2 linked regions of the Nothobranchius furzeri genome follow. The protein of the gene in region 2 purifies or fractionates together with the protein of the main gene of each other region. This does not show direct contact. Links are inferred from orthologs where the notes say so. Each region holds a gene or a part of one and is shown on either strand. Other genes may lie near its edges.

Region 1 (4,211 bases), on a different chromosome or scaffold from region 2:
ATTGGGTGTGAACGTTTTCTAAAAGTGGAAGAAAACAAAAACGTGTTAGGTTTTAGACAGTGTACAATAAAATCAGCTTCTGTTGCATCTTTAGTCATCACTTGTCCCTAGAAGCCACGAGTTTTTAACAAATGATTGGTTTTTTGTCTTGTCATTTTCGTATAGATTAATCTCAGTGATATAAATAAATAAATAAAAGACATAAATACTAAATTGAATGAACATTTTCCCCTTGATGCAAGTTGTTTGTTTTTAATAAACAGTTCAAACCCATAGAGTAAACAACCCGGTGTGTGAGCAAATGTCAAAGATGGAAGCAGCTCCCTTTTGGTAAACAGCTTGAGTAAACACTAAGCCAGTGTTGGGATCATAACTGATCCACAGCGTATTAATCGTCCTACGAGTATCAGGTAAGCTTTCTTTGTTCACATTATATTAGAAATAAAGAATTTTAAAGAGCATCATTATTTCTGATTATTATGGGTCACTGAATTTTTCATGCAGGCTGATCATGAAAAAGTCTTCTACACGATAGAAAATAGACAGTAAAACTCTAGGGTGTGAAAAGCCTGACAGATCTACGTCACACTGTCGCTTCACATTCATGGAGCTAGCCCCTATGTCCCAAGCCGTTGAGAACCTGCAGCTCCTGCCTGTGGACATGGAGAGCACGCTAAAGAGGATCAACCCCAACAAGGCCTCAGGACCAGGCAGGATCTCTGGTCATCTGCAGTCAGCTGGCGGGAGTTCTCTGCTTCCTGTTTAACTGCTCGCTAGCTGAGCACTCCATCCCCTCCATCTGGAAGTCCTCTATCATCTGCCCCGTGGCAAAGCAGAACAACCCAGGCATCAACAGCGACTTTGGACCTGTAGCTCTGACATCACTGATTGTGAAGACCTTTGAGAGGCTCGTAATGGCCCAGCTGCTGGTTGATGTGGGTGCATGTTTGGACCCAATGCAGTTTGCATACCAACCACACAGAGGGGTGGATGATGCTCTACTAACTATGCTGCATGAGACCCTCACCCACCTGGAACAGCCAAAGTCACATATCAACCTGGTCTTTGTGGATTTCTCTAGTGCATTCAACACAGTCCAGCCACATCTTATGGGATGTAAACTGCTGAACCTGAATGTTAACTCCCATCTCATCCTCTGGGTCCTCTCCTTTCTCACGAGGAGGGAGCAGAGGGTCAGGGTTAACGGCCATCACAGTACTGTCAGGTCACTCTCCACTGGTTCCCCACAAGGTTCAGTCATCTCTCCACTTCTGCTCATTTTATACACCAATGACTGCAGGAGCACAACCCCAGGAATCACTGTTATCCAATCTGAGGATAAATGTCCAAGTATCAGGAACTAAGACTCCAAAACCTGCTGTCTGAAGCGCAGCTGTGATGTGGGTAACTTCAGTTCCTGGTAATGGTGCACCAGTGTATTGTTTCCCCCTGACTTTCGACTTCCTACTATAAACCACTACAAATAACTATACTTTAATAAAAGACCTGGTGCAGTACCTTTTTTACTCCCCCCAGTGTGAGGTCTCTTGACCTCATGGAAGGGAGGCGACCTGGAGAGATTCCCGATGGTGGTCGGCGGCCCATCAGCAGTCCAACGTTACTGCTGCCTCCAGGAGTCGCCATTCGCTGATTACTGGTGTCACTTGAGTCAGCCATTTTGAACTAAATAAAGTAGGAGATACAAATCAACCTTTTTCACTTGGAATTATTTCTACTGGTATCTGTAGTCATCGTGGACACAACAAAGACTCTTTTTGTAGAAAATATCTAAAAATCACAGATATTTTTGTCTGCATTGGCACCTATTTCTAACGACATTCTGATGGATTTTGTAGCATTTAAAAGCAACATATGAATGCAGGTATTACATCTGGATGCACATCTACATCCACACTGGACTGTTGATGCTTTGCATCTGAGATCTACACATCCTTATCGTAAAAATATCTAATTACTATGTGCAGCCCTAAAATATTGTGTACTTTATATTATAATATTAAACATTGGGTTCAGACTGAAAACCAGTTCTCTCTTTTCTGGATTACAATGGGGATTATGCTAATTAAATGCATCTGTTTACATTCCTCTGTTGGTTTTACTGTTGATCTTATTGACGCTGTTTTAATCACGTTGCTTATATAGATGTTTTTTTAGCCATGGCCTGTGGCTTTTGTCTTTCAGCACCCCATCATTGGAAGCTGATGTGATATGAAGACATGCTAACGAATAGTGAAGGATTGATTTAACTTTATTGTTTAGCTGGGAACAAAAATTGTTTGCATTTATAAAAGTGGCACACAAGTACTTTCAACTTGTCGTTTTAGGCCTGTTTAGCTAAATATTTGGACACTACTAATGAAGGAGTTAACTAGTGCAGTGAAGTCATTTCAGCTGGGTCTCCAAATGACTTAACTTTCTTCACTTGCAGTCAGACTACTGGTTACCACTGAAAACTTTCCTACGGTTAAACTGGTTTTCGTTTCTCTTAATCTACCGTCCCACTACGAAAAAAATACTTAATTCCAGCTAGAAATGAACAAACCGCCAGCACGTGGACATAATGATACAGCACTAGTTCGCTAACCTTCATCATTAGAGAAGAAAAAGTGATATTTAAGCTTTTTCCAGATCCTTACCTGATTTCTTCTTCCGGGGTCTTTATTCTATGTTTATTCACGGTCTGCGAGTCATAATAAATGAACCTTAGCTAGTTGTGTTTCTGTTTCTGAGCCAGCTAGTTGTGTTTCTGTTTCTGAGCCACTGTGCTGCACGACGCCATGACACCTCTGCGTTGTTGTTCCGTTCGGAACGCGCATGCGCAGAATGAGGCGCATGGCCGCAGGCTGCAACGCGGGCGGGGCAACGCGTCTGGGTCACAGTAAAGGAAAGAATGAAAGGAGAAAGGACAGGCAGAAGAGAGAGCGTCAGTATGTCGCACAGTTATTCTCAAAGGAAGGTGGGTTTAGTTAGTGATTGGTTAAATTCAACCTGTTAGCTAGCTTTGATATCCACAATGAGAGGAACTATGTTTCATCTAATTATGGTAAATGGGTTGCTGTCCTTGTCCTTATAGAATCAGCAGCTGGTGATATGTCAGCAGGTGACTCCTCACAACCCAATGAACCTCACGAAGGTGAATGTAGCATGTTAGTTAGCAGCCTCATTTAAGGGGGTCTGTGGGAATCACTTAAGGCTCTCTTCTCTATCAGTACTATTACGAAGGAATATAAAAAGGCTATTTTTGGTGATAAACACATTGTTTTTCCACATAATGATAATTATATATATCAATCAGTAAAAATGTATAGATTGTTGTTGATGCTGGGCAGGTTGAAGCATTGTTATTTAGTCTGTTAATGTAACATAAATTACTGTGAGATTATTAATGTGAAGCACCTTTTTGAAGGCACCATACAAGAAAAAAAAACTCTTCATCTACTAAATACCTTGAAATGAAATGTTTTGAATCTGACTGAATTATGGGAGGTTTTACAAGATATAATTTGTTTATGTAGCTTTGAGAACACAAACCAAAAATCAGTCATTTCCAAATAAATCATCAGAGAACAAAAATGAAACAAAAGCTATTAATAATTGTAATAAATAAACGTAATATAACATTGAACACAATAAAATGACATCTAGTATTGATCGTTATCGAGCATTATTAATTATATCACTGTAAATAATAAATCTTGCTGTGTACAATCAAGGCTGAATATATTTTTAGCAGTTTTTTTGTTGAGAAAAATGGGTGTCTAGAGACTTATATAGGTTGTACCGTTATGAATCTTATAATGGTCTGCCTTAACAGCTGCCCCTTCACACAGTAACATCACCAAGGTCGGACGCTTGGTTCAGTATGTTTACATTCCAGGAGAAGAGACAGAAGAAGAGAAGAAGAACGCTTTTCATTGATTAATCAAAGTACTTTATTTGTGATAAGCTAATCAAAGCACTTTGTGTCTGAAATGCTTTTCAGCTCTCCTGCATGAAGTCCTGGTGAAACAGGAAATAATCCTTCAGCAGCAGCGCGGCCTCACCAAAATGGTGCAGGACCTTTTGTTGCTGTTGCTGCTCTTCAGGGCCTGACCACAGGGGGAAGTGTGGAGACCAGGCACCATGGCATCTACCCCTTGGCAGATGTTCAGGCCCTGATGGCCCTGGAGAGGTGAGCTTTTTTCTGTTCT
Region 2 (4,102 bases):
AAACAGAGAGCCCAAACCTCAAACATCAAAAGATCACACACACTACGAGATGATGGAAGAGTGCAAAAAATGTCTCACCGAGATGGTCGATCATCCTGAGGATTGTACTCTCCATCATCCGGTGTTCCATCTTCATACAAAGTACTGGCAATCACCAGTCTAAACTTGTCACCTTTATAATATGTTATAAGTCAGATTTTTATTGTATTAAGAATTAACTAAATAAGAGTGCCCTCGGTAAAAGGGCTTACGCTCTCACCAAGATCCACAGGATAGATCTGAATGTTCACGTCCAAGATGAGGTCCATCTTAAAAGATTCACTCTCACAGTGCAGACGAGACACTGCAATAGGTGAGAATTTGTCAGTAGATTATAAACATTGTCTGCTGTAGGTTATACAGGTGCTGGCCAGTAAATTAGAATATCATCAAAAGGTTGAAAATATTTCAGTAATTCCATTCAAAACGTGAAACTTGTACATTATATTCATGCAATGCACACAGACCAATGTATTTCCGATGTTTATTACGTTTAATTTTGATATTTATAGGTGACAACCAATGAAAACATCAAATCTGGTATCTCAGAAAATTAGAATATTCTAAAGGCCAATGAAAAAATGTTTGTTTCTCTAATGTTGGCCAACTGAAAAGAATGAACATGAAAAGAATGTGCATGTATAGCACTCAATACTTAGTTGGGGCTCCTTTTGCCTCAATAACTGCAGTAATGCGGCGTGGCATGGACTCGATCAGTCTGTGGCACTGCTCAGGTGTTATGAGAGCCCAGGTTGCTCTGATAGTCGTCTTCAGCTCCTCTGCATTGTTGGGTCTAGCGTATTGCATCCTCCGCTTCACAATACCCCATAGATTTTCTATGGGGTTAAGGTCAGGCGAGTTTGCTGGCCAATCAAGGACAGGGATACCATGGTCCTTGAACCAGGTGCTGGTGGTTTTGGCACTGTGTGCAGGTGCCAAGTCCTGTTGAAAGGTGAAGTCTGCATCCCCATAAAGTTGGTCAGCAGCAGGAAGCATGAAGTGCTCTAAAACTTCCTGGTAGACGGCTGCATTGACCCTGGACCTCAGGAAACAGAGTGGGCCAACACCGGCAGATGACATGGCACCCCACACCATCACTGACGGTGGAAACTTTACACTGGACCTCATGCAACGTGGATTCTGTGCTTCTCCGCTCTTCCTCCAGACTCTGGGTCCTTGATTTCCAAAGGAAATGCAGAACTTGCTTTCATCAGAAAACATAACTTTGGACCACTCAGCATCAGTCCAGTCCTTTTTGTCCTTGGCCCAGGCGAGACGCTTCTTGCGCTGTTTCTTGTTCAAGAGTGGCTTGACACACGGAATGCGACACCTGAATCCCATGTCTTTCATGAGTCTCCTCGTGGTGGTTCTTGAAGCGCTGACTCCAGCTGCAGTCCACTCTTTGTGGATCTCCCCCACATTTTTGAATGGGTTTGTCGTCACAATTCTCTGCAGGGTGCGGTTATCCCTAGAGCTTGTACACTTTTTTCTACCACATTTTATCCGTCCCTTCGCCTGTCTGTTAATGTGCTTGGACACAGAGCTCTGCGAACAGCCAGCTTCTTTAGCAATCACCTTTTGTGTCTTGCCCTCCTTGTGCAAGGTGTCAATGATTGTCTTTTGGACAGCTGTTAAGTCAGAAGTCTTCCCCATGATTGTGGTGCCTTCAAAACAAGACTGAGGGACCTTTTAAAGGCCTTTGCAGGTGTTTTGAGTAAATCAGCTGATTAGAGTGGCAGCAGGTGTCTTCTATATTCAGCCTTTTCAGAATATTCTAATTTTTTGAGATACCAAATTTGGAGTTTTCATTAGTTGTCACTTATGAATATCTAATTTAAATGTAATGAACATTGGAAATACATTGGTCTGTGTGCATTGCATGAATATAATGTACAAGTTTCACGTTTTGAATGGAATTACTGAAATATTTTCAACCTTTTGATGATATTCTAATTTACTGGCCAGCACCTGTATAAACTAAATCCAATAAGCAAGTTGGTTTTTTAACTGCTCTCTTAATGAGCTGAATGTCTTTCAATTTTATATTAGCTTTTAACTTCAGGATGCCAGATTTTCTTTAACATCACTATGTAAAGTCTGCCTTAACGTGGGCAAATAAAAACGTAGAATAAATGATTACTCATGAGTCAATATACCTGTGCATTATGTCAATACGACAAAAACAATATGATGGAATAATTAAATAAGTCACCCCAATACGTTATTGTACTTCATAAGTACCTCTGTCAAACTTCTTGCCATCTGGATCAATGTCTTTCACATCAAAGATATCTTCAAACAAAATTCCAGCCATCGTTGGCCCACTCTGTGAATTTGTGCAGGGGATCAAATGTTTAAGCCCCTGTTATGACTTGAACAACCTGTCAACAAAAAATAAAACGTAATAAACTATAGTAACTTTTAAAAAGCAATGAAACGTTAGGTAGCACAAGAAATCAACTGCTATAAGCATATTACCATAAAATACTTTTATATAAAAATAAGACTAGGACATACGTCAGTTAAAGTTGGCAAGTTTTATCTTCCACGTTGAATCTCCTATTTTGGCTAACAGCTAGCTTTAGCATACTGTTAATTCATTTGTTGCACTTACCCCAAATTATTTTTAGATGTCGTAATGCAAACACAGAAGCCTCGCAACTACTCGATTCTTTAGGACAACAGCGACTGTTCAAAACATAAGCTAGATTTGTTATTTAAGAGTAATTTAATTCATTGCTATCTAGCCAATCTGTGGCGCGCAGAAACAACGTGATTAACCTTTGACACGGGAAGTACTTCTCATAAAACAAAATAAAATGAAAAAATAAATGTTTATGTTAAAAAGCAAAGTAAAACATAAGAAATTGTAAAAATATAATACTCGTACTAAAATAATAGTTTTACCATTAAAATTGCATAATGTATCCTAAAAAAGGTCAACAATTACGTTTGTCTGTGCGTTGTTATAATTTACAATCGTTTACTTTTGTTTTTCTAAATCGCATGCCTCATAACTTAAGGTTATTCAATATATTTTCTTGTAAAATATAATACATTTAGTTAGTTTTAGTTTACGACACTCACATTTACTTTCCGGTGACCCTCTGGTTGCTAGGTATTTTTAGCGTCCCTCCTGTTTGTGGTTGCCAGCTATTTTTTCGTTCACTGTCCGACAAAGCGAGCAAAAATGTACTTTATGGATCTCGTTTACTTGTTAACGCATCACAAACTTGTTTGTACGTCAATTCTCCCAAATCAAATTACGTGCGAATAAGGTAGGAGCCATGTTAATGTCCTGTCGTGTGTCAACTAATTAGATAGCTTGTAGCTTCATAAGTTGTTGCTAATCTTGATGTTAAACCATTTAAGATGGTATAAAACCCCACATGCCTGCCGAAGTTACACTAGCATTCCGTTGTGCGTTTTGGTGTTTGGTTATTTTTACTACTGCTCATAGAATTAAGTTTTTACTTATGTATTTTGCTCTTTTGTTCTTGCACCTTTTAGCTTGAACCCTAGATCTATAAACGTTTTTGAATGAAAGCAGAAATCGTTCCCGTCTAAAGGGGTATTAAATGTTTTCGGTACACACATGAGTTCCAGTGAGGAAGCCAAGATGGGGGACGTCTTGGCAACAGAAGCTGATCTTCTTGGGATGATCAAAGAGGTAGAGAAGATATCTGGGTCACAGCAATATTGATGTTCGCTGAAAATGAATGAAATGCACCAAAACTCAGTGTCATCCTTCACTGTTTAAGTTGAATCATGTTTGTTTGTTTGTTGCAGTACCTCACGTTTGAGGAGTTTGAGGAGACTGTTCAGGTTTTTGACAAGGAATGCAAAAGGAAAGGCAAGCTGGTCTCAAAACCGAGAGGAAATGCTCTAAGAGACTCTAAGACTCGTGTCATTCAGGTAAACAATGCTCTTCTTCAACATGGAAATCTGCTATGTTGGTGTGTTTTCTGTCATAGTGGGGAGACGTTTATGTAGTTCCAGTAATCCTACAAAAGGACGTACACAGCCTAACAAGTATGCAAATGCCAAGATGGTCCAGCTGATT

The links. The genes of interacting proteins can lie anywhere in the genome.
Region 1: the proteins of polr2h (region 2) and polr3d purify together in Homo sapiens (affinity purification with mass spectrometry; 4 studies listed by BioGRID and IntAct, with this or other methods). This does not show direct contact. The link is inferred for Nothobranchius furzeri from reciprocal best matches to the Homo sapiens genes POLR2H and POLR3D.

What each region holds. Positions count from the first base shown.
Region 1 is NC_091757.1:39,754,478-39,758,688, reverse strand, and holds the start of polr3d (DNA-directed RNA polymerase III subunit RPC4), read right to left. Parts: upstream 2,814-4,211; 5' UTR 2,658-2,813; intron 1,684-2,657; 5' UTR 1,678-1,683; coding exon 1,519-1,677; intron 19-1,518; coding exon 1-18. UniProt on the Homo sapiens protein: DNA-dependent RNA polymerase catalyzes the transcription of DNA into RNA using the four ribonucleoside triphosphates as substrates.
Region 2 is NC_091748.1:62,882,957-62,887,058, forward strand, and holds the start of polr2h (DNA-directed RNA polymerases I, II, and III subunit RPABC3), read right to left. Parts: upstream 2,827-4,102; 5' UTR 2,654-2,826; intron 2,421-2,653; exon of another isoform or gene 2,366-2,420; 5' UTR 2,354-2,365; coding exon 2,281-2,353; intron 344-2,280; coding exon 260-343; intron 173-259; coding exon 79-172; intron 1-78. Other genes in the region: lisH domain-containing protein ARMC9, read left to right, coding at 3,635-3,709, 3,829-3,954. UniProt on the Homo sapiens protein: DNA-dependent RNA polymerase catalyzes the transcription of DNA into RNA using the four ribonucleoside triphosphates as substrates.